Linked DNA regions of Sus scrofa. The protein of the gene in region 5 interacts with the protein of the main gene of each other region in a pairwise test. Links are inferred from orthologs where the notes say so. Each region holds a gene or a part of one and is shown on either strand. Other genes may lie near its edges. The genes, in order: TXNDC17, OTUD4, TFAP4, POLDIP3, EXOSC8, DUSP23 and SLAIN1.

Region 1 (4,547 bases), on a different chromosome or scaffold from region 5:
TATCTCGCTCCCTCTTCAATAACACAAGGTACCCCTACAGGCTGTCCAGCGCCCCACAGGCCAGGGAGACCCCCAGGGCCTGTCTCCTCTACCGCTTGTCTCCTCCACCATAGGGCTGGGGCACCCACAGAGATAGTTTCCTCCGGTGCAGCCCTGAGGACCCCCATGGCCTCGGGCACCGCGGCAGCCTGCACCCTTCTCCATAAGCCTGGGGTATCCCCGCAGACTGCCTCCTGTGCCAGAGCCCCAGGCACCTGCACTGACTGCTCTCTCCCCCACAGACCCAGAGCGCCCCCATAGCCTAGCTCTCCTTCCACAGACCTGGGTACCTCCACAGCCTTGGGCCACCCCATGGCCCCAGGCACTCCCACAGTCAGTCCTTTTCCCCGAGAGCCTGGGGCAACCCCATAGTCTATCCCTTCTTTGGCCCCAGGTACCCCCACAGCTTGTCCCCTCCCTGGCAGGTTTGGGGCAATCCCAGAACTGGCCTCCATAGCGCCAGGCAAAGCCACAGAGGGTATCCTCACAGGCTGGCCCTGCCCACACACGACTGCAGCCCTCTCACAGCCTGCCCCCAGGCCCAGAGCTATAGCTATTCCTGAGTCCCCGGGGGCTGCCCTACCCTGCCCTTTCACCCAGGGTCCTGTGAGACCACCACGGCTGGTTTCCACCCAGGAAGCCCGGCCAGGAATCCCCCTTTCAAGCAACCCCTCTCCTGCAGGCACAGGATGGAGTTCGACTCTGCTTCCTTCCCCACATCCCGAAGCTGCCCTCATGGCCTGCACCTTCAACCATAGCTCCAGAATGCTCTCGTGCCCCATAGATCCCGGGCGACCTTTTCTCTCACAGCCCCGAGGGCTCCTATAAACCGACTCTTCCTCCTCCCCACTGCCAGTCACCCACACAGAGCCGACAGGCCCCACCACCTGGGGTATCCCTACAGCCCCGTTCACCCATACAGTCCCAGGGTCCCTTGCAGCCTCCATAGAGCCTGCAGTGCCAGGTGTCCCCGCAACCTCGTTCGCCCCGGCGGCCTGGGCTGTCCCCGCTGCTTGTCTTCTCCCCCACTGTCCCCGGCAGTCCTGCAGCCTTTCTGCACTCACACAGCGCGTTTGCCGCACGGAGGACCTCGCCCAGCGCTTCGCTCCACGGCCTCCAGTGGTCCTTGAACCCCATCTCTTCCCCCACGGCCTCCGGACTCCACGCCCAGACCTGCTGGGCCCCACGCAGCGGCCCGGCGTTTCTGCGGCTGGCTCGCCCCCGCGCAGCCCCCGCAGGGCCCCCTGGCCAGCCATCCCGCTCATAGCTCCAGGACGACTCACGCCTTCCCAAGGCAGCTCTGGGGCACTTCCTGTCTTGGCACCAGCTCCCAAGGCGGCTCCCCACACGCACTCACACTCAGCTCTAACCCTCGCAGCCTTCCTCCCTCACAGCCCCCTGCCCCCGCCCTGTCCCGGACGCCCGACTAAAGCCTCAGTAGAAGAAACGAAAATTAGAGCCGACGAGCGGCAGGATCTGCCCCGGGCCCAGGTCTCCTCTTCCCTACGTCTCTGACTCCTAACGCAGCTTCCCAGAATCCCCCCAGCTCTGGCCCGAGCCCACCTGGCCTGGGGCTCGGCGCGGCTACCGGGAAGCGGGCAGGGGGGGCCGCTATTAGGCCTAGCTTCCGGCCGCTCGCCCAGTCGCCATGGCAACAGGCGCAGGGTGGCTTGGGAGCCGTTAAGGCTCCGGAGCCACCTAAGGGTCCAGGGGCAGCGCGGCGGCAGGTTTTGCAGCCACCGCACATGGGGCTAGGGCCGGGACTGGGACCATACTGGGGCAGAATCCGGGGGCTGTGGGCGCAGCCAGCACGGAAAGACCTGAGACGTGAGAGCAGAAAGATGGTGACGAGTTAGGGCCATCGGAGGCACCCGTAGCACCTCAGAGCCTGGCTGGCTCCCTCAAGTCCCCGCCCACCCGGAAACAGCTTCGCTCCGCCCCGCAGGGGATCGGTCCCAGCTGCGGCGTGCGGCCCAAGACACCTCCCGCGGTCCCAGGCCCGCTTTCCCGATGGCCCGCTACGAGGAGGTGAGCGTGTCCGGCTACGAAGAGTTCATACAGGCTGTGAAGCAGCACAATGGCAAGACCATTTTCGCCTACTTTTCCGGTTCTAAGGACGCCGAAGGGAAAAGCTGGTGCCCCGACTGCGTGCAGGGTGAGGCCGGGATTCGGGTCTCCTGCCTAGAGGACCTGGCAGGAAAGCTGAGGCTGTGGCCATTGAGCAGGGTGGAGAAGCGGAGGGAGTCTTGCTCCCGAGTCCCGCAGAGCGATCTGAGCTGTCTTTTGTCTTTTCCAACCCTGTACCCGACTCTCCTATTAAGTCCTTTCCCACCCCGCCAAGAGTGCTCTTCTACCATTCCACTCAGGTAATCTTAGAATCTAGTCCTTTGGAACTTTTAACTTCCTTGATTAGTGTCTTACAGGAGACACGAGGTGGTTTCTTTTGGATGTCAACAAATATGTCTTTCGTTTTTCTGGGCTCCGTGGTGTGGGGACAAATCAGGACTTAAGAGTTGGTCCTTGCTCTTTTAAAGTGGCTCTCAAATCAGAAAACAGCACCTGACTTCTGTTAACCTCCTCAGTTAACTGCAGGTTAAAGTCTGAGTACTTACCAAGCCTGAGGGGAGAGGCGAGAGGGGCACTGTTTATCAGTGCTGATTGTACTGTTGGTGTGTAATTATTTTAATTTTTACCAACTTTTTTTTTTCTTTTAAAGCTGAACCAGTTGTACGAGAGGGGCTGAAGCATACTGTTGAAGGATGTGTGTTCATCTACTGCCAAGTAGGAGAAAGACTTTAGTAAGTGGCCACATGTACTCTATTTCCCAGACCTAGGTAGGAACGGCTTTGGGACTCAGACTCTGAGTTCTAAGGTATAGTCGGATAAGTCAAGCAATCAGAATATATAAAATACAAATTAAAAATCTGAGTGATCATCCAGTTGTATTAGGTAGGGGTAATTCAATGAATTTGCCGTGATGTTCCTTTGGAACTTAATTGTCTTTACATTTATATTTTAGTATATACTCACGTGAAAACTTTGCACAGGGGAGTAAATCATAGAGTCAAGGTCTTTAAAATGTTCACAACAAAAACAATGATTACTAGAAGACTAAATGTAAGAATACATCAAATATTTAGCAGACTGTAAGAAACCAAGTAAATTTTTCATGATCACTTTTCTTTTTTTGAAATAGTTGGAAAGATCCAAATAATGACTTCAGGAAAAAGTTGAAATTAACCGCAGTGCCTACACTACTTAAATATGGAACAGTGAGTATCTTTCTTTAACTGTGCTGGGGATACAATTCACCCTATCAACTCTTTTAACTTGTTCTGGATTCAAATTTGAAAAGACCTTGACATTTCATCCCAAATATCATATTGCTCTTTAGCATGGATTCATAGCACAAAAGCTGTCTATCCCTATGGCCAGTCCCAATAAATTATTAATAATGCAAATATTAGCTCTTTCAGTGCTTTCTTAAAAGCCATTCTTTTTTGTTTGTTTGGCTGGGGTTTTGTTTTTGTTTTTGCATTTTAGTGCTGCACCTGTGGCATATGGGAAGCTCCCAGGCTGGGGATCGAAACGGAGCTACAGCTGCCAGCCACAGCCATGCCAGATCCAAGTCACATTGGATTTCTACACCACAGCTCACAGCAATGCCAGATCCTTAACCAACTGAATGAGGCCAGGGATCGAACCTACATCCTCATGGATCCTAGTCAGGTTTGTTAACCGCTGAGCCACGAAGGGAACTCCCAAGCCATTCTTATTTTTAAATTCGGTAGGCACTGCTGAACAAAGTTGGTTAACATATAATCCCTTAAAAGAGTGCCATCAATGTTGCTTTCTCTTTAATCCATAATTCTTGATGAAAGGGCACCTCTAGTTAAGTCATGACCCTGGAATTCTGAATTGAAGAATTAAGGGAAAGGGGGGACACTGGGCTTGCTGTCTCCTGTTTTAGTCCAGGGAGCCAAGAATTTTAATGATTTACCTTAAAGCAAATACCTTAACTATTTCATAAAATGTGTTACAACTAGTTGATAATTTCTGTTCCAAGATCTGTGTCATTCAAGGCAGAACTCATTCCCCTCCTAATAACATTTTTGTAGTGATGGGTTAAAATAAGACTGTTCTTCTTTTACAGCCTCAAAAACTGGTAGAATCTGAGTGTCTTCAGACCAACCTCGTGGAGATGTTGTTCTCTGAAGAGTAAGATTTGATGATGGCAATTGTGTCTTGATTTCCTGATTTGCTCTAGTATAAAAGAAACTGCACACTTGCTTTGAATTCATGTTAGCAATAAATAAATGATGATTAAAAGAAAAACTGTGTATGTCTAAATAATAGAGAGTACAATTAAAATGCTCATGAACCCTTAGTCTGCTTTAATATATGGATATGTTTGAACTAAGGATAAACTAAGTCTTCAGGAGTAGCAGTAGTAGCCCAAAGGGGAGGATATTATTGGAGATGGGCAGAAATATCTAAAAGCCGCTGAT
Region 2 (3,814 bases), on a different chromosome or scaffold from region 5:
AGGTCCATTCAGAAATGCTCGGTGTTTATACTCGGCTGAATGGAACAGACAGTGAATGCCCCAGTGGAAGAGCAATACATACTTCTTTCCAAGTTCCTCGACCAAAACCGGCCCGTTCTGAGAGTGAACCCCTTGAAAGTCGGCATTAGAAAATCTTCCGTTGTGCTCCAGCCTAACCTGTTAAACAGTCCACAAAGAAAAATCAGTCACCTGAATCTCCCACATTAATTATCAGTTTTTAAACCGTTATTTCATTTCTGAGTGAAGAGAAAATGAACATATGCTATGAGTTCAAAAGAGTGCACAGTATTGTCTCTGACCGCCCAAGACCTCTGTACTGCTCTATCCAAGATAAAACACTCTTCTTTGTCCTCAAAGTTTTTCAATTGTCCTGGTTCTGAAGACAGGGCTATGGCACCACACACTGGGTGGGATTCCAGGTCCGGCTTTTCTACTCAACAGCAATAGGACCCTGGGCAAGTGACTTATCTCTTGCTTCAGTGTCCTGTATGCACAACGGGGCTAATTACAGGACCTCCATCACAGGACCCACGGAGATGGAATAAGGCACCTATGATATATATATAAAGGCACCAGCTTGCACACAGCAACCACTCAACAAAGAAGAGCAACTATTATTAGAATTACTATTATCTCCTCACTCTTGCAATATTTAAAATATTAAAATATGTAAATGTGACCTTTTTTCTCCCTGAAAATAGATCCATCATGTCTTCTCTAATATACTAGTGGTTATTACACAAGAGCAAATTGTGACAGAAGAGTAAGCCTTTAGGCTCCCTCCTGCAGCCAAGCGGTACACACTGCACAGGGCACTGCCCGGCACTGCCCCGGGAGCCGGAGGTACACACCCTGCTTCAAGCAACCTCCTCCTCCTATCAGCAAAGGTGTCCCTCGGCACTGGTTCCAGTATCTCCCTCAGATGCTCAAGTCCCTTACGTAAAATGGCACGGTGCAGAGGGCACAGTCCATGGCCACAGAGCAGAGGGACGGCCTGACAGCAAGTCAAAGTCCTCAAGCTGAGGCTTCATTCTTCAATCACAGCAGAACACTGCTGTCCTTTCTTCAAGTGTGTACAATAAAAAAGAATTTTTCTGAAGTTAGTTTTTAGTAAAAGTTTAAACTATGTTTACACTATGCTGATCTGAGTAAATAAAAGTCATCTTTGGGTCATAGCACTTTCCATAATAAAATTTCAATTACATTTTAGCCAAGTGAAATAGCCAAGTGGTATAAACAGCAACGGAATACTCTTAAAAAGAAAAACATTAAAACAAGTATCTGCTTTACCACTGACCTTATCAACAGCCATTGACTTTACAAAAGCAACTGAAACCTCAAAGGAAATATGCTTGACTTAAACTAACAACACAATTTTAGTGATGTAGCAATAAATAAACAATCTCCTCTCCTCCACTAAGTGGGGGCGAGGAGGGAGGGAGCACCTGGATTTACTCTTTTAGTCTCTTCCAAGTTTTCCCAATCACTGCAGTAAAAGATTCTCCAATTCTGTTCTGTAATTAGCACACATTTCTGACAATCCTATAAGGAAAACTAAATGAATCATACCGTCTTCCTTCGCTCCTTTCAAATACCCTAAATCAGAACACTATGCTAAGTTCCTAAGGTCAAGTCTGTCACTGACAGCCAAATACAATCCCATTCCCCAGATACTTTTCACAAACCACTTTTTCACAAAGGAAATGGGGTCTCTTCCATGAGTCGAGAAGAAATATTTGTCAATGGCTATTTTAGTTTTTAAAAGGAAACACTTTTTGATGGAGATCACTTTTGATGAAATTTATCTTCCAAATACAACTATTTTATAGTGTGTGGGCTGTTTTTGTTTTAGAAAGAGTAATTTTTTCATAAAAGTTTCTCTAGTCTTATCATTTTAACACTTTGGCTGGAAGGGAGAGCTGTGCTGTGTGTTCTAGGATGTCTGGCACTGTGCCTGGGCTCTACCTTCCAGATACCAGTAGTACCTTCACAGCTCTAACATGTCTGCAGACACTGCTACATGGGAGTTAGGGGTGCAAAATCACTCCAAATAAGAACACTGATCTAAACCCACCCGTTTAAGCCCAGAGATGTAGCTTACTCAAAGTAAGTGGCAAAACTTATTGTCATTTTCCTCTCTCATTCCAACAACCACAAAATTATGTGATCTATCAAAATCTTACAGATGACTTTCATAAACCAAACTGACCTATAATGTCAAGCTTGAATCAATTTCAGTAAATTTGTCAACTGTAATGAAAATATGTGAAAATCTAAGATGTTACTGTTACTTCTTTGAAGCAAGTAATATCAAAGGCTGAATTAAGTTAAAGATCATGTGATAGGATGCCATGATTTAGATACATGATTTTGGTCATGTACTGAAAAGCTACATAGCTGCTGTAACTCTTAAAAAGTACATCCAATAAAAGATATTCTGAAATCCTAAATTAATATATCCAAACTTCAGCTGTTTTCTTGGTTCCTATTAGAATAAATACATTTCAAGTACAATCTTTTCTTCCTCTAGATAATCACTTACCTGGCATTTATCTCCAACTTCATACTGTAAGCCAGCAGCAATGGAATAATCATGTTTTTGTTGAGCTGTAAACGGTATCAATAAAATATCAAGTTAACTCACTTTCAAACGCCACAAAACAAATTTACAGAAAATGCACAGATTTTGAAACTCACCTTGTTTAGACTTCAGCCATATTTCATATTCCACATTTCTATAGACTGCTGGATTGAGTGACTTAAGAACCTTTCTAGACAAAGGAAGGCTGGGAGAGTTCCCATTGCTTTTCGGGTGCTAAATAAACAAAGTCAGGAAGTCCAATCAACACAGAAACGCTTTTAAAACATGTTTGAGATATGCATAAGAGTAAAATTAAAAGAAGAAAACTTTAAAAATTAGGAAGTCACCAAAAATGTCTTACTAATAGATGATCCTGACTCTATTGAAAATGTACCAGAAAAGGGAAAAAAAAATAAGACTATAAATTCAGATGCTTTCTGGTATGGGAGAATTAGTTTAAAACCATTAAAAAAAAAAAAAAAATACCTGATCACTTGACAAAGCTTTAAATCCATACACATCATTAACAGCGGTGGTTTTACTCCTACGAAGAAAGAAACAGAGCCATCATGAGGAGTACAAAAATGTTTGCATGTAATTAACTTAACTTATTCTAACCTCATTTAAATCTCAGTTATATTCCAAAAAGCCAAACCTATATTCCAATGAGCTCAAATTTTAGTTGTGTGCATATATATGTACATGTATGCATGTGTTGATGTACACATATGTGAAAGATCTTTATCAGTAATTCTTACTGACTCAATCAAGACACAAAGGAAATAAACTGAAATTTGGGTTGGTAGAGTAACGTTTAATTTAAAAATTTCATTTCAAAATACAGACAAGCCTCCATTAAATAAATTATTCCACTCCAACATGATATATTCCACTGAGAGTAGATACAAACTAAGTAAGTAATATGTTAAATGCTGATAAGTCCTTTGGGGAGAAAAAGGATAGTAAAAAAATGAGTGTTGAGACCTAGACTCAAATAATAAAAGTGACATAAGGTAAGGACTTGCTGTCTTCCTGAATAAAAAATTAAAGATGATGAAACAGCAAACCATATGGCTACTCAGTAGTGTAAGCAGACGGGGCAGCAAGTAAAGACTCTGGGGTAGCCAACAGGCTGGTGGGCTGGACAGAATGATGGCGGGTTGAGTGAGTGAAGAGATGAGAGGCAACCTGCACTCTGTCATCCAATTCCTT
Region 3 (3,814 bases), on a different chromosome or scaffold from region 5:
GCGATCACCTTGAGCTTTTCCGGGTACATGTGGGCCTCCAGCGAGCGCACCTGGCAGGGGAATGCAGGCTCAGGGGCAGGGCCCGGGCCACACCCTGGCGCCTCGCGCTCCGACCGAGGTCGGCCTGCTCGCTCCTCCTGACTCCTGCTGCAAAACCCATCAAGCAGCCTGCCATCCTCACCACCCTCGGGGTGGAGGACAAAGTCCTCCAAAGTCCCGCCAGGCCCGCCCCATGCCATGCGCCCTCTCTGTCCCCTCCAGCCCCAGGCCTTTGCCCAGGCTGTTCCCTCTGCTTGGGCAGCTTTGAGACTCCCCCTCCCACTCTCAGCTCAGGTCACTTCCGGAGACGCTGTGGGGCAGCCCCTCTCGAAGCAGCCCGGATGCCCACCAATCCGGTGTGGCCTTGATCACAGCTGCAGGGGCATCCTCTGCCTAATCTCCCCCAAAGCAGACAGGCCTGTCGGCTCTGCTCCCCACCGGACACCCCGCTCCGAGGCGTGGCACAAAGCAGGCGCTCCTGGAAATAACTGCTCAAAGGGAGGGCAGGCCAGAGCCAGCCAGCACCCCCAGGAGGCCCGCCCACCTCACCTGCTCCTCCAGCATCATGCGCACCGAGCGCTCCTTGTCCAGCTGCTGCCGCAGCTCGATCATCTCCCGCCGCAGATCCTCCGCCTTCTCGTCCTCCCAGATGTCCGGGGAGCCAATGCCCTCATCCTTGTCCTCTGCCCGCCGCCGCTTGGGGGACGAGCCGCTCAGCTCCTGGGGACCCCAAGGGGGTGGGTGAGTGTGCCGTGGCAGCACATCCACCACCACCACCACCACCACCACCAGGATGGGACAGGAGCTCCACGGCAGCCCCCCAAATCTGTCACACCCAGCTAGAGAGCCCCTTTTTGCAAATCCAACAGACAAAGGCCAGAAAAGGAGGCAGAATGGACTTGCTTCCTAGAAGTCAGGGGTTCCGTCCAGAGTCTACTCTGCTGCACCGGATGATGGCTAAACTAGGGCCCAGGCCGAGGCAAGGGCTGGAAGCAGGCAGGTCAGCAGAAAGAAGGGCCCTGTAGCCACATCCCCGTCCCAAGCCAGGGGTTGGGCCCAGACACACACATGCCAGGCGAAGGGCGCCGGGAGCAGGGCAGGGCCCTACCTGGATAAAGCGCTTGAGCTGTGTGTTCTGCTGCAGGAGCCGGGTCTTCTCCTGCTCCAGGGAGAAGATGTATTCCGCAGTCTGCTGGAGAATAGCTGCCTGAGGGCAAGAGGGACAAATCAGGAACCCCGGCGGACAGGGTCTCCTGAATCTCCCTGCTCCAGCCCCCCACCTCCTCCAGGAAGTCCTTCTGGGCCTCGCCCACCTTGCTGAGCTTCTCTCCATCTGTGTGGGGGATGAGGGTCTTGAGGGACTGGAAGCCCGCGTTGATGCTCTGCATGCGCCTCCGCTCGTTGCTGTTGGCGATCTCCCGCCGAATCCGCCGCTCCTGGTCCCGCTGAGTCTCAGGGGTCAATGGAATGTTGGCAAGGCTGCAGGAACAGAGACAGACTCAGGCTCGGTGCCCAACCACCCCGTGCCCTGGCTCCAGTGCGCCCCAAGTATAACCTGCAACCCTCCCGCTGCAAGATATCAGCTGTCTGATGCCTACACCCGCAGCAGATCCAGGGGTGATGAAGTGTGTGCTCTGGGATGCCTGGGTGTGAAAAATGGATGCCTGGATGCCAGACCCTGGGGTCTGGACAGCAAGGATTTATTTATTTATTTATTTATTTATTTATTTATTTATTTATTTATTTATTTATTTTGGCTTTTTAGGGCTACACCCAAGGCATATGGAAGTTCCCAGGCTAGGGGTCAAATCAGAGTTGTAGTCACTGGCCTACGCCACGGCCACAGCCACGCCAGATCCAAGCCGCAACTGTAACCTACACCACAGCTCACAGCAACGCCGAATTCTTAACCCTCTGAGTGAGGCCAGGGATCGAACCTGCATCCTCACGGTTGCCAGTCAGATTCGTTTCCACTGAGCCACCACGGTAACCCCCTGGCCAGCAGGTGTGTGTGGAGCCCAGAAACCTGCGTGGCTAAGAATCCCTGTGATTCCGATGCAGGTGGCCCGACCATAATCAGAGACACCTGCTCCTGGGCCACCCCCAAACTCCTTGCTCTACACCTGGACCCCTCCTTCAGGGTCGCAGGCTTGAGGACTGAGGCAGCTGTCCTTCCCCTCTCAGCCTCACAGCCACAAATTCCCAGAAGCCCCCAGCCCGGCCCCAGATAGTTCTCCCCCAAGCCCACCCACCCCAAGATGCAGGCCCACCCTGTGCCCGAGAAGCGAGGCTCCCAGCACGCAGAAGGCAACATTTTGCATATGATGCGGCCGCATCTTGCCGGAGCAGTGGCCAGTGGGGTGAGAGAGAAGGCAGCCAGCAGAAGGCGGCGAGGCTGCCGGCCCGAGGGGCGCTGGCGGGAGGCAGAGACGGGCCCAACGCCACTGCTCCCCAGGGGTGGGCCTGTGTGTGGCCCGGAGGAGGCAGGCCCCCCCTTCCAGGCCCTCTCCTGTAACTCCCCCGCCCCGGCCTGATGGCTTCCAGATGCTGGGCTCCCAGAAGAGGCCACCGGCCCCACCCAAAGCCACAACCCTGGCTTCTTCCTGAGGGGCCCTCCTGGGGTGACCTGGACCAGGCCTGAGCCAGCATGGCTCACACCCCTGGGTCTGGGGGACCAGCGAGAGGATCCTGGGCAGCCTTGTTCCATTGATGGAGGAGCCTGGGCTCAAAGAGGCCCAACTCCAGGGGAAAAGGAGCTCGCTGGGAAACGTAGGAGGGGCGCACATCTGCAACAGCCAGAGAACTTTCCTGGCCCCCTGGCCCACCCCGTCTGTCCTACCTAAGCTCCCTGAGGGATCCCGGACTGGTCCTGGCCTCTTCCTGGGTCTCAGAGAGGGTGGTCAGCTGGGGATGGGCTGGCAGCAGACTGGGGACATCGGCCACCACTGGGGGTCCAGAGCAAGCCCACTCCTCCACAGCACCTCCAGACTTTCCCTGAGACCGCCCCCCGAGACACAGCTCCCTCTCAGCATCGGAAAGGGGGCCCATGACCCCCCTTTATAAATGGGACTTAGAGCTCAGGGCAAGAGGGACATAGTTTTCAGGTCAGACAGCTGGGCATCTGGCTCCCCTTCTTCTGGGCCAGGGGTACGTCACTTCTCCCAGTTTCCCTGCCCCTATGGGGGGCAGGGTGTGTGACAGGATGGCAGATGGAGGAGAGGGGGACAGAGGTCAGGCACCTGACATCCAGCGTCTTGCCTGCCTTCTGCAGGGAAGGAATGAGCATCAGAACTGAGCCCAGGCTCCCAGGCCTGGCAGTCGGTGGATTAAAGAAGAGAAGAGAGGAGTTCCCATCATGGCGCAGCGGAAACAAATCCGAATAGGAACCATGAGGTTGCGGGTTCGATCCCTGGCCTCGCTCAGTGGGTTGAGGATCCAGCGTTGCTGTGAGCTGTGGTGTAGGTCGCAGACACGGCTCGGATCCTGCGTTGCCATGACTCTGGGGTAGGCTGGCAACTCTAGCTCCAATTTGACCCCTAGTCTGGGAACCTCCATACACCTTGCGTGCGGCCCTAAAATGCAAAAAAAAAAAAAAAAAGAAGAAGAAGAAGAAGCAGAGGGAGCTCCTGCTATGGCACAGTGGGTTAAGAATGTGACTGCAGCAGCTTGGGTCAGTATGAGGCTCAGGTTTGATCCAGTGGGTTAAAGGATCCGATGTTGCCACAACTGGGACCTAGATTGGATTCAACCCCTGGCTGGGGAATTTCCACATGCC
Region 4 (4,432 bases), on a different chromosome or scaffold from region 5:
CGATCCTTGGCCTGGGAACTTAGACGCCAAAAAACAAGAAAGAAAGAGGGAGGAAGGAAGGGAGAAAGAAAGAAATGGAGTGAAGCCCTGGCTCAGAGGACTGTGAGGGGCCCTGCCTTCCTGGCGTATTGGCAGCGTTGGGAGGACCAGAGGGCTGTCCCGCCCCAGTCCCCGCCTTCACGTGGCTGGATATGTTGTCCAGACAACCAAACACACCCCACAAAGCTCCGAAATGCCCCTGGCAAAGGGCCGCCCCACTGACAATCAGAGAATTAAATGATAGCAGCTAACCACCCTACGATTGCAGTAGTTTAAGAAAAAATTTTAACTGACTTCTCTATACTTCATTTATTTCGTGTGAAGGCGTGATAGGCCTTAACTTCTGCAGCGCCCTGGTCCCTCCTGGTTCCTCCCGCCAGGCACTGGGTCTTGGCCTCTGCACCTCTAGGAGGGAGCACTCAAGGGTCCTACTTTACTGCTGAGACAAGGAGGACCAGCCCGCGCCCGGTCACGGCTGCGCAGGGGGACCTGGATTCCCCTCCTCAGGCGGGGGCCCAATCCCAGACCCTCCGCCCTTACCAGCTCATTTCTCCACGGCCTTTCTGATGCCAGATTTTTCATCATGGTGGGATAGTCTGTCAAGAGCACGTTGGACTTAGTAAATAACAGCAGTAGTAACTCACTGGGCACGAAGTCCATGCTTGGCACCGTTCTAAAGGGGTTGCACGTATTTTTTTATTGACTCCACAAAGACATACTGAACACCTACCTCATGCCGGGGTCAGAAGTGGAGGCTGCGATTGCATCAAGGAAAAGGCAATTCCACGTGGCGAGCACCTCATTTAATCCTCGCAACCGCCTGTTACTTGCCCGACTTTCCAGATCAGGAAAAACGAGGCACAGAAAGGTGACGCGATTTGCTTCTGAAGACCGCAGAGCCTAAAAGTGTCTACAGTTTCCGCCCTACTTGCCATTTTTTTTTTTCAACCCCAACAAAGCAAAAAACGAATCAGTTCCGAGTTCAGGAAATCTAATAACACACAACTACTTAATCCTCCATGTTCGTCAAAGTTGGTCTGCTTTTCAAGTGTAAAGGGGGACGGGCAGATCGCAACTCCCAGGCATCCCGCAAAGTAGGCGGGTCACCTTAGGGGCGACCTTTACCCGCTCAAAAATTCGTCTCACATTAGCAGTGAGGACTCGGGCGTCACCCCGAATCGTTATTTTCCTTACTCATAAGTTTAAGGCATAAAAATGTAAACGTCCATACTTCCTAGGTAAGGAATCCCATTCTCATTAGCCATACGGTGAATATAAAAGTTGACCGTTAAACCGAGAACTTCATCCCGCTGACGTTTGTCTTACTCATTTAGTTTTTCATATCTCCTTGTATTTTATTTGGTCCTCGGAGAGGGTAGGAAACGACAGGGATACGACCCCCCGTATGCAAATCAGAAGCTGGCCTCGCAAAGGCTCACGGGGAGAGGCCCGCCTCTTCCGGCCCCTGCTCGGCCTAATCTGTCGCGAGAGTTCGTCAGCCGAACGCCGGAAGCCGCTAGTTGCTCCACAGCGGCCGAAGGGGCGGGCTCGGGGGCCGAGGGACCCTGAGGTGCTCGCGGCCTGCTCGGCGGTGCAAGATGGCGGACATCTCCCTGGACGAGCTCATCCGGAAGCGCGGGGCTGCTGCGAAGGGGCGGTGAGTAGCCTTTTCTCCTTTCGGGTTTCAGGGCCTGAGTCCTCGCGGGGTTCGCGCTGAAGAGGGAGCGGCCCGGGCGCGACGCGGAGGGCCGTCTGCGCCCGCCCCCTGCCGCAGCCCCGCTCCTCATTGGCCGCGCCGCCGCCGCCGCCGCCGCGGGCCCGGCCGCCAGGCCGCCCACTGGCTGGAGGTGCCGTCGCTCCCGCGGGCCAAGGGAGGCCGGAGGGGCCGCAGCCGCCGAGGGGCCGCGCTGCGGGGCTGGTGGGAGCGGCGCGGGGGGCGGAGGGACGGGCCGTCCCCCGCGGCCCGGGATTCCCGGGGTCGCCCCGGCGCAGCCCCTCCTCTGAGGAGACCGGCGCTGCTCCGCGATCCCAGCGCGGCCTTGAAGTTAGGACGACCGAAGTTTGGCGGGGCAGTGGCTTGCTCGGGCTCTGCCGGTCTCTACTGCCGAAGCCGAGCCCCAGCCCCAGAGCTGGTCCAGGTTTCCAAGTCCTGCGCCGGCTTCGCGTCTGTTTACACCGCCCCCCCCCTCCCGGGAGCGGTATTTCCGAGTCTGAGCGCTCTCGGGCCCACACGGTCTCATTAGCTCCTCTGGCCGTCCTGTCGGCCAGCCTTTCGTGCTTTCCCCGTTCTGCAGACAGGGCGCTGGAGGCTGGGAGAGGTGGAGTGACTGCCCCGAAGTCCCGGAGGGCTGAGACCGGGACTGAAGGCGCGTTCTGAGCTGGCCGAGGTGGCCTCAGGCTTGGGCAGAAAATCAAGGGAGATGGGGCTGGAGGGTAGCTGTTTGCTGATGGTGCTCAGAAAAGGCGGTTCTGTATCTGGGTGGCGAGCCCCGGAGACGACGTGCAGCTCTGAGACCGCCCTCCTCTAGACCCTCGAGTACGGTTCGTCGTTTCCAGCCTGTAAGAACTCCAGTTCACCCGTATGGAAAAGTGGGAGCTTTGGCCCAGAGTTTTCCAGCACACGGAAAATTAGCTCGGATGTCCTTGTAAACGGCCAGGCTGTTCCATACTGTTTTCTCAGACAGTCATTCACTCAGTAGATGTTTATGAAAAGTGCCTGTGACCAGAAAATAGAGTCTCTGCCTTACTATCCCCCGACCCTCAACACATACATCCATCCACTACGTTTGCCCCCCAGCCCCACACAGTTCACCAGCCAGCATTTCATCTGGCTTCTGGTTCATAATAGGCACACAGCATTAATTTCCTCTCCCATTATCGGTGAGTAGTTCTTCCCTAGGTCTGCCAAGAACTGGTGTGGACTTGGGGCTGGTCCTCTGGCCATTTCCAGACCCATCCAGGTTTCACAGGTTTGCTGGACAGATGCTGAAGGAGCCAGCTTCAGGACAGGTGCTTCCTGCAGTCACTGCAGGCGGTCTGTACTTTGGTGTCGATGCGTGCAGAGTCTGTGTTGGCCGTAGGGTAGGAATGCAGGAAAGGGAAGACAAATGGATGCATGGGAAGAGCGAAGAGCGGGGAGTGTGCAGCCAGACAGACCTGGTCTCATGGTAGGCCCTGCTGTTGGGTTCCATGCTTCCCCGGTCAGATGACTTCTGAGCTGGTCGATCTCCTCATTTGCAATAATGGTTGCTGGTAGGTGCTTGAGAAGATTGCATATGAGAATGTAGGAATGTATATTTAAAAGTTTGTACCAGGTTGTAAGTGTTCAGCAGATGACCTTTCTTTAAAGAAGCCCAAATCCCTCCTCCCAGGGGACATAACAGGTAAGCATTGGGGTCCTCGAGTCAGACTGCCAACTTTCAATCCCTGCTTCTCCCATTTTTCATATGATCTTACAGAAGTTGCTTAACCATTCCATGGCCTCTCTTTCTTTTATCTATAAAACATGGACTTTTGCTTCATTAAGTGTTTTCAGGACTAAGTGAAGTAATGTATCTAAAGTACTTTAAAAAATAAAGTACTTTAAAAAGCGTCTGATGGATACTAAGTGCTCAAGAGATGTTCGCCACCGTCGTCATCATTATTGAAGGTTTTTAAGTAAAGAAGTAACACGCAATCTCTTGAGTGTGAAAATATTGCTTTGCTAGCACATGAAGACTGGATTGGGGAAGTGTAGGCAAAGAGACTAGTGTAGAAGAAATTGGACTGCCTCCTGTGTTTGGGTTAAACCTGCTGGAGACTCCATTTTTATTTTACTTGCACAGCCAACAAAACTAGATTGGGGCGGGAGGGTTCCCTGTCAAGGACTGTGAAAGATCTGAACAAATATCAGTGAACAAGTGTCCTTTCCTACAGTATAAAATGCTATTCTACATGCTTCCTAGAAGAAATCGCCTTACTGGAAACTTTGGTTTAAAGTTGCATAGGTGTCCCAGGGAGAACTTTGTGCTTCATAATTTTAGGAAGAACCTGTGAGCATCTCAGAAAACTTCTTTTCTCTTCTTAGTGCAAATAGCAAAAGACTGAGCCGAAGGGAGTGTAAATACCCTCTTCCCACTGGTGGCGGAATGTGCTTGTTCTTCAGAGCAGCCATTCTGTTTTGTGTTCATCCCACTGTGTAAGTCAGGAAAGGTGTCTTTATTGTCCTTATTGCCTGGCCCCCGGTTAGTCATCAAAAGGTTGATGGTTAATATGAAATGGGGGGGCAATTTTTGCGGTACTTCAGCCAGGCCATGATGAGGTGCTGTCCTTTCCCACATACAGCACATTTCTAGTGGCTTTAGCTCTTTAAGACCCATAGATGACTCCCCAGGACAGCACTGGGCACCAGCAG
Region 5 (3,447 bases):
GATTCAACCAACTGTGGATCATGTAGTACTGTAGTAGTATTTATTGAAAATATGCCTGTATAAGTGGACTGGTGCAGTTCTAATCCATGCTGTTTAAGGGTCAACTATAATTTTAAAAAGACTCAAGGAATACAATTTTGTAAACAAATGAGATATGTAGCAAGATAAAACCATACATAGAAAATGAAAAGGAGTTCCCATCGTGGTGCAGCGGAAACAAATCCAACTAGGAACCATGAGATTTTGGGTTCAATCCCTGGCCTCGCTCAGTGGGTTAAGGATCCGGCATTGCCATGAGCTGCGGTGTAGGTCGAAGACGCAGCTTGGATCTGGTGTTGCTGTGGTTGTGATGTAGGCCAGCGGCTACAGCTCCGATTGGATCCCTAGCCTGGTAACCTCCATAGGCTGTGGGTGCAGCCCTAAAGGACAAAAGACCAAAAAAAAAAAAAAAAAAAAAGTGCTTTTCATTTTGTTTAAATACTTATCTTTTCAGGTTCAATTGGTACTGCAGATGGTTCTTCTTTAGTGAAGCTGGGAAATACTACAGTAATTTGTGGAATTAAAGCAGTAAGTTTATTGTGTATATTACTATAAAGATTTGAGTTACCAAATTAGTTCATACACTTATTAGATTGTAATATACACCTATAGTTCTGGTGATGAGGTGATCAGATGTCAGTTTTTTAGTATTTGTTTTCATTTCGCAAGCTTAATGACTCAATTATAATTTATGAACATTTGCAAATGTGCTGAAATGAAATTTTTTAAAAACCCTCACCACTTTTAATTTTTTAAAAATTTGGTTGTAATTTGAGAAATTAAGAGGGATTTTGGGTGACATCTTTTTATGCAGGGATGGCATTTAATCTGTGCAAACATGTAGAAAATTGTTTAAAGGAAAAGCTTGAGGGAGTAATAGCCACCATTAACTGAGTACTTGCTATATCCTGGGCACCTTATATTAGGTGCTTTAAAAAATTAGCCAGTTTAAACCTCAGAATAATTATTTGAAATATTTCTCTCTTCATCTCCTATCTTACATGAGGTTCAAAAAACTTGTCTAGGAACATAAGGCTCATAAATTGAATTTAGACATAACTAACTCCAAAGTCTCTGCTTTTTTGACTATCCTGAACTTTGTAATTTGCTTAATCTAAGTTCAGGTTCTTTTTCAGTAAAGGTTGCAGTGATATGTAACAAGATTTGAGCACTTACTCTTTTTTAGGTTTTATGTCAGGGATTTAATATTATTTCATTTGACCCTTATTAACATCTTCTGAAAGTAGGCCCTATTAACTTCCCACTTTACCAATGAGGAAGTTGAATGGTAAGAGGTTAAATAACTTCCTCAAAGTCTCTGAGCTACAAAGTGTGATTCTGACATTTGCTTTTGATTCCTCCCATCAGTTTCTAAATCTGGCTGTGTCAGTATCCCTAGGTTTAAATTCAGTCCTGGCTGCTGAATAAGTGGAAGAGAGGGTGGAGCAGAAATCCAATTAACGAGCCCCAAGTAATTTTGATGAGTGGCACGACAGTCAGCTGTGCTCTACTGCCTTCTGGCCTTGCAGAACTTGTAAGGAGTGGTGCCAGTGGCCCTAGAGCCCTTGTCACGCCCTCCCGAGCACAGGAGATGCTCAGGATGTAGTTAACTAGCTAAGACGGAAGAGCCTTCCGTAACTGACTGCTGCCTTCTCAATTTTTTAGCAGCTTCTTTCATAGGAAACATTTGTTTACTTCTACAGGAATTTGGAGCGCCACCAACAGATGCTCCTGATAAAGGATATATTGGTGAGTTAAATGGTTTTGTAATTTTAATACAAATATTTTAACATAGTTAATACTGTTGTTATAGTTAAATCTTAGTAGGTGAATTGAAGAGTATTCATAAGCTTTAGACATTCCTGAAAAGTTTTTTGTATATGTTAGAAGATAGCATAATAGCAAGATAATTTTATAAGTATCTTTTTTTGATCAGTTTTTGTATAGATGTCATCAACCAAGAAAATAAAATCTTAGGCAAAGGCTATAATTACAAACTTTTGTTTCCATAAAGTTTTATTCATACCACCATGTGATTTTTTTTTTTTCTTGGACCATCTTTTCATTATGATGAGAACCAACATTTTAAAAATGCGTAACACTTGGTATGACTGGGGAGGGGGGCTATCTTCTGTTACACTTTGGGGCATTTTGAAAGACATATAAGAACTTTAGTGAAAGGCCTTTAGAAAAAGGCCCTAAATATACTTTTTTTGATATTGCTTGTGTGGAAAACAGTTGGAAAATACAAATTTTGTCTAAGCCCAGGATTCTTATTACAAAGATGAAAAGATATATGTGATGTTTTACAGTGCTTTCCATGGCTAGTTGCTTTTGCAGTGGATTGATAATACCTTTATCACTAAATCAGAGATGAAATCTGGTTCATAGCTGCAGTATTTTTTCAGTTCCTAATGTGGATCTATCACCTCTGTGTTCCTGGAGATTTCGGTCTGGCCCTCCGGGAGAAGAGGCCCAAGTGGCCAGCCAGTTCATTGCAGATGTCATTGAAAAGTAAGATCATCCTGATAAAATCTATCATTCATTTTAGAGCGTTGGAACTTTTATTTACCATGCTCTTTGTCTTTAAATCAAGTTCACAGATAATTCAGAAAGAGGACTTATGCATTTCTCCAGGAAAGGTAAGAGGAATAAAGAGGCTATGACCTTTTATTAATTCTGGTGGGTTTTGTGGGAAAAATTAAAAAAAAAAACCCAAAAAACAGTAGCCTTAAATACTGATGTCTTTACTAGATTCCATTCTAGATGGAATTCACTAAAAAAAGGTAAAAAAATTAAACAACCAATTTTGATGACTTCAGTACCTGGCTAGGATATGCCTCTTAGGCTGATGTAATCTCCCCTTTTACAGAAATAAGTCATTTTAAAATTTCTTCTAGCAGATTATTACTGTCTGATCAGCTAACATGTGTTTGAGGTGAATCCACAGTATAAATTCCAAAAGTCTGTTTGGAGACTTTGAACTAAGTTGACTAGTACCTAGAGGCTTTTCCTATTTGATTATACTGATGTATTAAGCATTAAGATCTAAAAGTTTCATATATTGAGGTTTCTATGGTAAAGTACATTTTAAATTTTCAGAAGTAATTCCTTCATCATTGTAGTTCCCTTGAGTGAAATGGAGATGTTCACCTGTCAGCTTTTGGTAGTAAAAAGTCAGCTTTTATCCAACCTGTACAGTTTTTTTTTAAACTTTAAAGTTTTAAGTTTTTTGAGTCTTGAAGGTTATCTTATCTAATGAAGGTGTGGTTTGTAAGTAAAAACAAATGAATGTTATACCAATCAGAAGACTTTAATTTCCATTTTGTGTAAACTCTGTTTTAGCTAGCTTGGGTTCTATATTGTGATCTCATTTGCCTCAACCACGATGGAAACATTTTGGATGCC
Region 6 (4,196 bases), on a different chromosome or scaffold from region 5:
GGGTCCTGGCACCGCTCAGCCTGTGGCTTGTGGCTGTGGGGCAGCACACTGTGCTGGAGGTCATAGGTGAGCCTGGAAGCCCACGGCTGGGGAGAGGCGCCCAGCCCCTGGAAGATGAAGATAGGGATTATCTGTGAGCAATGCATCCTCCTGGCCTTCTCTTAGAGGGTGAAAGGGATGGTGCATGTGGGGTATGTGGGCCTGGACTGAGGGGCTGGGTCCAGAGCGGTCCTTCTGGCCTGCAAGCATCAGAGACCAGAGTGCCAAGATCTGTTTCCTTTTCATTGACCAGCATTTGCCTACCTCCCAACCAAGAAACATCAAATATCATCAAAGAGCAGATGCACAAGAGTTTCAGCATCTTAAGAGACTGAAAATGTGTCTTCTTGTGCTGGCCCACTTTCCAGAAGTGTGACCGTCGGCCATTCTGAGCCTTTGTCACCTCATCCAAAGAACAGGGATGGCCCTTCTGCCTTTCCTGTCCCACAGGGCTATTGTGAGGCTCAAAAAAGTTGCTGTGTGGAAGCACTTTGTAAAGTGCTATGCCATGTGAGCTGGTTCTTTATTTATTCAAGGCAGCAGCAGAGGAATCCCCAACATCCATGCAGCTCCAGCCATCCCTCCTACCAGGACCTGCCTGCCGGGAAGGAAGAACAACTTTAGTCTCTTGACCCAGCTGGACACTGGAGGGATTAGCACTTTTAGTCCACGTGAATGTCTCTGGCCCCATCTAACGCACAGGTCAGGGCCATGGGGGCCCCGCAGAATGGAGCTGAGGTCCCTTATTTAGTTCGCTGGTAGAACTGGAAGACTGCCTTCTCCTGCTCGTAGGTCTCGATGGAGCCGGGTCGGAGGCGCCGGATCTCAGCGATGGCGTCTCCTGCAGCCAGGCGCCGCTCCTTGACCAGGTAACAGGCCAGCATGGTGCCAGTGCGGCCAAAGCCCAGGGCACAGTGCACTCCCACCGCCTGTGAAGGGGGAGCTGGAGGAAGTGGAGGCCGATGTCCTCCCACCACTTTCCTGCCCCTCACTTGTAAAATACAGCCAGGTTTTAAAGATGTGGGATAGCAAAGAATGAAAAATCTGGTTAAGAATTTATTTTATATTGATTACACGTTGAAATGATAATATTTCGGACTTAACTGGGTTAAATTATATGATCAAAATGAATTTCTTCTGCTTCTTGTTTAACTTTTTAAAAAATGCAGCTCCACTATATGTGGGCAGAACCTTACTCTGGAGACTGCTCACCCAGCTCCTGACTTCAACCCCCGTCTCTTCCAAGCCTGTCAACTCACGTTATGGGGTTCTTCGTTTTCTATACTCATCTCCTTTTCTCCATTTACCCCTCCCTCCTCCGCGTTTGTCTAGGTTGCACCTGTTTTCTGTCCCCGTCAGCCGGTCTTCCTCCAGTCTCTTTCCGCGACCTCCCCTGCTTTGCCCGTGTCCTCGCTGACCCCTCCCAGGCCCCTCCCTCCCTGCGCTGACCCCGCCCACTGACCTCTCCCCGGGCATTGGCCTCGTCCACGATCTGCACGAAGCGGTCAATCTGCTCTGGGCCTGGCGGGCAGAAGTCTGGAATGCGCAGTCGGTGCAGGGTGAGGCCGGGGCAGCTGTCGTGGTGCGGAGGCCCGCGTTCCGTCAGTGACACCAAGTGCCGTACACCCTGGTCCAGCAGGAACTGGTAGTGCGCGGGGAGCCGGGGCAGCGCCAGCCCCGCCAGCCGGCCGGGGAGCACCCACGAGAAGTTGGGGGGCTGCACGACCATGGCTAGGAGAGGGCACAAGACAGCTGATCATAGGGGGCGAGGCCGGCCGGTCCCGCTCCGCCCTCCCCCCCTTCCGGTCCGTGGGCCTGGTAACTCTCCGCCTACCAAACACTGGCGCCTCCTGGGACCACGTGGTCTCCAGGACTCGACCTAGGGTGCGCCCTGCTCCGCCGCGGGGGATTGGTGGAGCCACTTGAGGGGCGGGGCTAGGGCGCTGAACGCTGAGCTCGGAAGACTGAGAGGAGCGATCCGGTCTGGCCCCAAGCAGGACACCAGTTGATTGGCTGGATGATCAATAATGGGCGGGATTACTGCTGCGGTGCGCTTGGAGATTGGTGGACCATGCAAACAGCCAAGCAGGAAAACCTAGAGAGAATTCAGAATTGTTTGCTGTGGAGTAAGGAGCCCGGGGTCAGGCTCTGCTGCTCCCTGGCGGTGGAAGGGCGTTATTGCATCACTGACCAGCTTCCCTGCTGCCCAAGGGCCTGTCCTTGTCTTACTGTCTTCAAGATTGGATGCCCAAGGGTTTATGAGATGGCAAATCTACATCCGCTTTGGGGGGAGGAACCTCCTCTTCAGTGACTCTGACAAGTCGTTATTGGTGATTTTATGAACTCGTCTAGTAAGCGGGAATCTGTACAGGGAACTGTTCTCATTTTCCATTGCTGGAATTGGTTTTTAAAAATGAGAGTTGCAGCCATCTGGTACTCTGAAGTCTTACCCGGGATAGTAATTATTTAAAATAATAATAACAACATGAGAACCAATAAACTGAGCATTTACCGTGTGCCAGGTATTATTCTAAGTACTTTACATATTATTTAATTACATATTTAATTTGACATATATTACGACTTATTTAATTAACATATATTAACTTATTCATTTAGTCAATAATCTTTTGAGGTAGGTAAGCAAATTAACTCTCTTACAGATGAGAAAACTGAAGCTCTGGAGAAGTCCAGGAACTTGACCAGGAGATGACTAGTGGCGGATTTGAAACCGAGCAGCCTGGCTCCAGAATCAAAATGGTATTGTATTCTAAAGTTAAATGGAAGATTACTGCCTCTTTACATAACCCTCTTCAAACCCCTTAGCCGGGTTTCAGGATTTCTTAGTTTCTCTTCACAGCTCCTGATTTCCAGGTGCTCTGAATCACTCTTCCTTGGGGAAGCTTGAGTTTATCTGTCATTCATAAAAGGTGGAGAACTAGATGTGAACACAATGTCTTAGCTGTGATCCGACTGGTTCATATCCTCATTTGAACAATGTGCTCCTAGTGATGCAGACTAATTATAATTATGAAAATAGTTAACTTTTGTGAATTTATTTGCTTATGTACCAGGCCCTATGCCAGGTACTTTCTGGAAGACCCTCAGAGGGGAAGGTATTTTTGTATCCCTTTTGCACATGAGTCATCTAAGGCTCAGAGAAGTTGGTTACCTTGGCCAAGCACACATAGCTAGTGAGCCGCTGGACTGGTTGAGCCACGGTCTCTGTCATTCGAAGCCCCGGCTCCTTAGCCATGAAGATGGACTTCCCTCCCTCTGTCCCCACCTCCCCCTGAGACACACATTTGGTTCCAGCAAAATGAAAAGGAATTTTTCTTCCCCCAAAGGTTGAAGCCTGCTCTGACCCTGTGGAAAATGCACTTACCCTTTACCCAGACGACTCTGAAGCTTTACCGCACCTACTCTCCCCACGTTCCAGGAGCTGTCAAATCAACCCTTTCCTCCCCTTCCTGACAATCACAGCCCTGATTAAGTCCTTCCTGTCTGCACTCCCATTTCCTACACAACTCCCTGTGACTCTTTCTCGCCTATCCCAAGTTATTCCTTTCCCCTCTTCCTACTGTGCCTTTCAGCCTCCAGTTGTACCCCCAACCCCCTGCAACTTCTCTTAATCCCTCACTCGGGGGTTTCTGGTTGCATGGCCCCTGGAGACAAGACCCCAGCCCTTGCTCCTTTCAGGGTGACCCTTTCTCAGTTCCTTTGCCTGGCTCTCCTTTCTTGGCTCCCTCCACTGTCAGAGAAAAACCTCCACATCTCTCCCCACCCACTCTATGCCCTTTGCCGGCCTCCTTGAAACCCAGCTCACAGCCCATCCTCAGAGGGAAGATGTTTCTGGAGGAGACAGAGCTTCCCGGTGAGCCTTTGCAGGGGTCGAAGTCCATCCATCCACCCACCTGGGCTTCTTTTGTAGGAATTCCTCCCCTGTCTCTGCTGCTTGGCCTCTGGCTTCCAGTTTTGGTCCCAGGTCCCCGCCTTGGTCTGTGTCTCACTGACAAGGATACTATTGAGCTTCTGTCTTGGGCCCAGGAAACCTCACATTGAAAGAAAAACTCTGAGTTTCCATCGTGGCTCAGCGGAAACGAATCTGACCAGCATTCTTGAAGATGCTGGTTTGATTCCTGGCCTTGCTCAGTGGG
Region 7 (3,491 bases), about 37 Mb from region 5:
GCAGCAACGGATCTTTATCCCACTGGGCGAGGCCAGGGATTAAACCTGCGTCCTCAGGAGAAAACATCTTTACCCCACTGAGCCACAACAGGAACTCCTGAAATACAGTGTTTTAATTGGTATAAAACCTGTGGTTGTTAACTTAGTAAAATTCTTTTCTCTTATAGATAAGCTCCGAAGAAGTATGCCTAATCTAGCCCGGATGCCAAGTACCACTGCCGTTAGTAGCAACGTTAGTTCCCCAGTTACCGTGCGAAATAGTCAGAGTTTTGACTCCAGCTTGCATGGAGCTGCAAATGGAATTTCAAGAATACAGTCTTGTAGTAAGTATGACAACTTTTCACTCTTTTGTAATTTTTAATCAGCTATAACACCATTAGAAAAATACCTTACTTTTTCATTTCTCTTAAGAACATAAAAGGAAACTTTTTCTTTTTGACTTTTTTGTATTTCATTATTATAATTGAGTAGTATTTCAAGAGTGCCTATGTCACTGTGAGTAAATTATCTGTAATCCTTTATATCCAGAGACAGCAGAAGCACCAAATGGTGATTGATTGATTCGTCCACTCATCATACAGAAATATTTTCTTTGCAGATCTGCCTCGTTCTAGCTGTTTACTTGATATTTTTACTCTGAAGAAAGTACACTTACTCTGTCTAGCTGTCACTTTGGCCTTGTTTGCCATCAGTCCATAGCCTTTCCCCACAAATGAAGTTATATTTTTGTGTGTCTAAATTAGGACTTAACTACTTCATTTTGACCCTCAGTCTGTCATTCATTCTCCATCTGTTCTACGCAGTAACGAGCAGCTCAGTGAGTTCAGTCTATGTGCATTTTCACTTCTGTGGGGCAAAATTCCCATCTTCCTGCTCATATTGTCAATATGGGTAGTTGGGCTTAAGTCTGAGCCTGACCCCCTGGGAGGCAGAGTCAAGGTCACAGTCCCAGTATTGACACACCTGAACCCGAGAGGCCTGAATGTGTTCAGAGGGTGCTGGCCAAGGGCCAGCAACCTTAAATCTGCACCCAGAGTGAGTGGTTTGTAGCCCTATTCACTTACAACTTATTTTTTGAGCACTTTCAGGTTTACAGAAAAACTGAGTGGGAAGCATATCATTCCCATATAGCCCCCACATTCCCCCTTCCTCTCCTTCCATTGCCCCCATTTTAAACAGCTTACACTAGTGTGGTACGTTTGTTGCAACTGATGAGCCAATATGTTGAAACAGTCATGGCTAGAAAGGATCCTAGAGATGACATAGCAACCAGCACAAGTTCACTGTGTCCCCCAAACTTTTTTTTTTTTGCTTTTTAGGGTTGCACCTGCACCATATGGAAGTTCCCAGACTAGGGGTCAAATCAGAGCAGCAGCTGCCAGCCTACACCACAGCCACAGCAACTCGGGTTCTGAGCTACGTCTGCGACCTACACCACAGCTCATGGCACCACCAGATCCTTAACCCCCCGAGCAAGGCCATCCTCATGGATACTAGTTGGGTTTGTTTCCGGTGAGCCACGACCTCCCTGTGCCCCAAACTTGATAGGTTTCAGAGCCAACTCTTCCATGGACCTCATTTTTCATTGAATGTTTGGGTACTATACTCATACATCAGCATTCCTACATGTAGATGTCACTTAATACATACTTGAGCAAAACTAATTTAAGGAAACATTTTCAAGAGATATTAAGTAAAACCACAGACGTTTTGTCTTTCTCCCCACTTCTTTTTATAGAAGAGATACCTAGTGTATATTTTATGCATAAGTTCAAAACCAGTTAAACTATTTGAGAAAATAGGGTCCGGTCTGTTTCTGTTTCATTTGAACCACAGCTGTACTTGGCAGCAAAGGCTAGAGTGATCAGTAAGCAAACAGCAGCATTGTATGTACAAGTTTTTGTTAAATTTGTGATTCAGATTTTTTCCTCTGGAGAAGAGCATTATAAACATTAAAACAAACAAACCAGTTCATTATTTTCCAGTGTGAAATAGCGCTCAGTGTTGGGCCAGCATATTGATGAACTTTTTAAGGGCTCTTCCCCAGAGAGCTCCCTTCATTTCACAGGTTCTGCTGCTGTTTTCAAGAGAATAATAGCAGCACTTGTGGAGAGTCACTAAGCGCCAGGGGCCGCTACAAGGCGTTCTGTGGATTGACTCATTTAGTCTTCCCACCAACCCTTCGAGATAAGTGAATGTCATGGTGAAAATACTCTAAGAACTATTCTGTTATAAGCTTTTTGTACCTACTGAAGCCACCTCTGTCTTCCTTTCTGTAATTATTGCCATGACGTTGTCCCCTTATTTTCATGAAACATCCCCAGTGCACCCATCGAGAAATCCCAGTGTCTCCCAAGCGAGCAAGAAGGAAATCCTGGGAGAACTCAGAGATGACCGCGTTTGTCAAAGGCAAGGAAGTCGTGGTTCCCGCTGGCTTCTGAACATAGTCAGGCACTCAGATATGTTGCTGACATAGTAGACTCTTGTCAAGAAGTAGAATTTTCCAAAACAAGATGCAGTCTGGAGCCCGTATTGCATTTGTCTTTACACACACAGTGTATACACACAGTATATACTTATGCACACGCATAACCCTTGCAGACAGGTAGTCTCAGCTTTTTTGAACGTAGCCCAGTGTAGGTAGTGTAGACATTTTCTCTCATGTGCATGTTCTTTCCTCTCCCAGTTCCGTCACCAGGACAGCTTCAGCACAGAATCCACAGTGTGGGGCATTTCCCAGTGTCTGTCCGACAGCCTCTTAAAGCCACAGCCTATGTGAGTCCAACTGTGCAAGGCAGCAGTAGCCTGCCTTTGTCCAACGGCCTCCAGCTCTACTCTCCCACGGGGATTCCCACCCCCAGCAAAGCCGCAGCTTCTGGCATAATGGGCCGCAGCGCACTCCCAAGACCCTCTCTGGCAATAAATGGGAGTAACCTGCCTCGGAGCAAAATTGCACAACCCGTCAGAAGGTGAGAACCCGTGTCCTTTTCCGTACCCTCACCTGCAGTGTGCGATTAGAATAGAAACCGCTCTGGGAACCACCTCACCTTCTTCTCTGTCCCAGACCAGCCCCAGCTGTCTGTCCCGCCTCTGGCACACTGGGGGGTGGTGGGGAGGGGCTGTCCCTGTGGGGTCCGCCCCTGTCTGATCCCACCTCCCCTTGCTCCTGCAGCACTCCACTCTTTGCTTTTGCTTTAACTTCCCAGCTAGCCCCACCCGCATGGCCCACTGTCCCTCCTTCAGATCTTTGCTCAGGTGGTGCCTCCTTCCAGGATTGCAGCTCCTGCAAATTCAAATTCCTCCCTGTCCCCTTCCCCATCTGTTACCCACAGCCTTTATCACCACCTACTTAACGACTTTGGGCTGACTTCCCAGTAGCACGGAAGCTGCAGGAAGCGGGGTAGTTGCTTCTGGGACTAGTGTACACCCCTGATGCCAAGGACTATTCCCAGGGCAGGGAAGAACTGCTCATCTTTTTTGAATCAATGTTC

The links.
Region 1: the proteins of EXOSC8 (region 5) and TXNDC17 interact in binary tests that used the Homo sapiens proteins (3 or more experiments, as listed by UniProt). The two-hybrid records come from large-scale screens. The link is inferred for Sus scrofa from reciprocal best matches to the Homo sapiens genes EXOSC8 and TXNDC17.
Region 2: the proteins of EXOSC8 (region 5) and OTUD4 interact in binary tests that used the Homo sapiens proteins (3 or more experiments, as listed by UniProt). The two-hybrid records come from large-scale screens. The link is inferred for Sus scrofa from reciprocal best matches to the Homo sapiens genes EXOSC8 and OTUD4.
Region 3: the proteins of EXOSC8 (region 5) and TFAP4 interact in binary tests that used the Homo sapiens proteins (3 or more experiments, as listed by UniProt). The two-hybrid records come from large-scale screens. The link is inferred for Sus scrofa from reciprocal best matches to the Homo sapiens genes EXOSC8 and TFAP4.
Region 4: the proteins of EXOSC8 (region 5) and POLDIP3 interact in a two-hybrid assay, tested with the Homo sapiens proteins (2 studies listed by BioGRID). The link is inferred for Sus scrofa from reciprocal best matches to the Homo sapiens genes EXOSC8 and POLDIP3.
Region 6: the proteins of EXOSC8 (region 5) and DUSP23 interact in binary tests that used the Homo sapiens proteins (3 or more experiments, as listed by UniProt). The two-hybrid records come from large-scale screens. The link is inferred for Sus scrofa from reciprocal best matches to the Homo sapiens genes EXOSC8 and DUSP23.
Region 7: the proteins of EXOSC8 (region 5) and SLAIN1 interact in binary tests that used the Homo sapiens proteins (3 or more experiments, as listed by UniProt). The link is inferred for Sus scrofa from reciprocal best matches to the Homo sapiens genes EXOSC8 and SLAIN1.

The regions. Positions count from the first base shown.
Region 1 is NC_010454.4:50,734,496-50,739,042, reverse strand, and holds TXNDC17 (thioredoxin domain-containing protein 17), read left to right. Parts: upstream 1-1,733; 5' UTR 1,734-2,049; coding exon 2,050-2,194; intron 2,195-2,755; coding exon 2,756-2,837; intron 2,838-3,235; coding exon 3,236-3,311; intron 3,312-4,192; coding exon 4,193-4,261; 3' UTR 4,262-4,374; downstream 4,375-4,547. UniProt on the Homo sapiens protein: Disulfide reductase. May participate in various redox reactions through the reversible oxidation of its active center dithiol to a disulfide and catalyze dithiol-disulfide exchange reactions. Modulates TNF-alpha signaling and NF-kappa-B activation.
Region 2 is NC_010450.4:83,260,989-83,264,802, reverse strand, and holds part of OTUD4 (OTU domain-containing protein 4), read right to left. Parts: intron 3,147-3,814; coding exon 3,089-3,146; intron 2,837-3,088; coding exon 2,719-2,836; intron 2,629-2,718; coding exon 2,564-2,628; intron 178-2,563; coding exon 83-177; intron 1-82.
Region 3 is NC_010445.4:38,054,106-38,057,919, reverse strand, and holds part of TFAP4 (transcription factor AP-4), read right to left. Parts: intron 1,519-3,814; coding exon 1,353-1,518; intron 1,247-1,352; coding exon 1,148-1,246; intron 760-1,147; coding exon 589-759; intron 51-588; coding exon 1-50.
Region 4 is NC_010447.5:6,172,922-6,177,353, forward strand, and holds the start of POLDIP3 (polymerase delta-interacting protein 3), read left to right. Parts: upstream 1-1,521; 5' UTR 1,522-1,637; coding exon 1,638-1,696; intron 1,697-4,432. UniProt on the Homo sapiens protein: Is involved in regulation of translation. Is preferentially associated with CBC-bound spliced mRNA-protein complexes during the pioneer round of mRNA translation. Contributes to enhanced translational efficiency of spliced over nonspliced mRNAs.
Region 5 is NC_010453.5:12,819,973-12,823,419, forward strand, and holds part of EXOSC8 (exosome complex component RRP43), read left to right. Parts: intron 1-493; coding exon 494-567; intron 568-1,742; coding exon 1,743-1,788; intron 1,789-2,447; coding exon 2,448-2,553; intron 2,554-2,635; coding exon 2,636-2,681; intron 2,682-3,384; coding exon 3,385-3,447. UniProt on the Homo sapiens protein: Non-catalytic component of the RNA exosome complex which has 3'->5' exoribonuclease activity and participates in a multitude of cellular RNA processing and degradation events.
Region 6 is NC_010446.5:90,720,126-90,724,321, forward strand, and holds DUSP23 (dual specificity protein phosphatase 23), read right to left. Parts: upstream 2,551-4,196; 5' UTR 1,769-2,550; coding exon 1,502-1,768; intron 969-1,501; coding exon 783-968; 3' UTR 530-782; downstream 1-529. UniProt on the Homo sapiens protein: Protein phosphatase that mediates dephosphorylation of proteins phosphorylated on Tyr and Ser/Thr residues. In vitro, it can dephosphorylate p44-ERK1 (MAPK3) but not p54 SAPK-beta (MAPK10) in vitro. Able to enhance activation of JNK and p38 (MAPK14).
Region 7 is NC_010453.5:49,880,820-49,884,310, forward strand, and holds part of SLAIN1 (SLAIN motif-containing protein 1), read left to right. Parts: intron 1-167; coding exon 168-323; intron 324-2,686; coding exon 2,687-2,969; intron 2,970-3,491. UniProt on the Homo sapiens protein: Microtubule plus-end tracking protein that might be involved in the regulation of cytoplasmic microtubule dynamics, microtubule organization and microtubule elongation.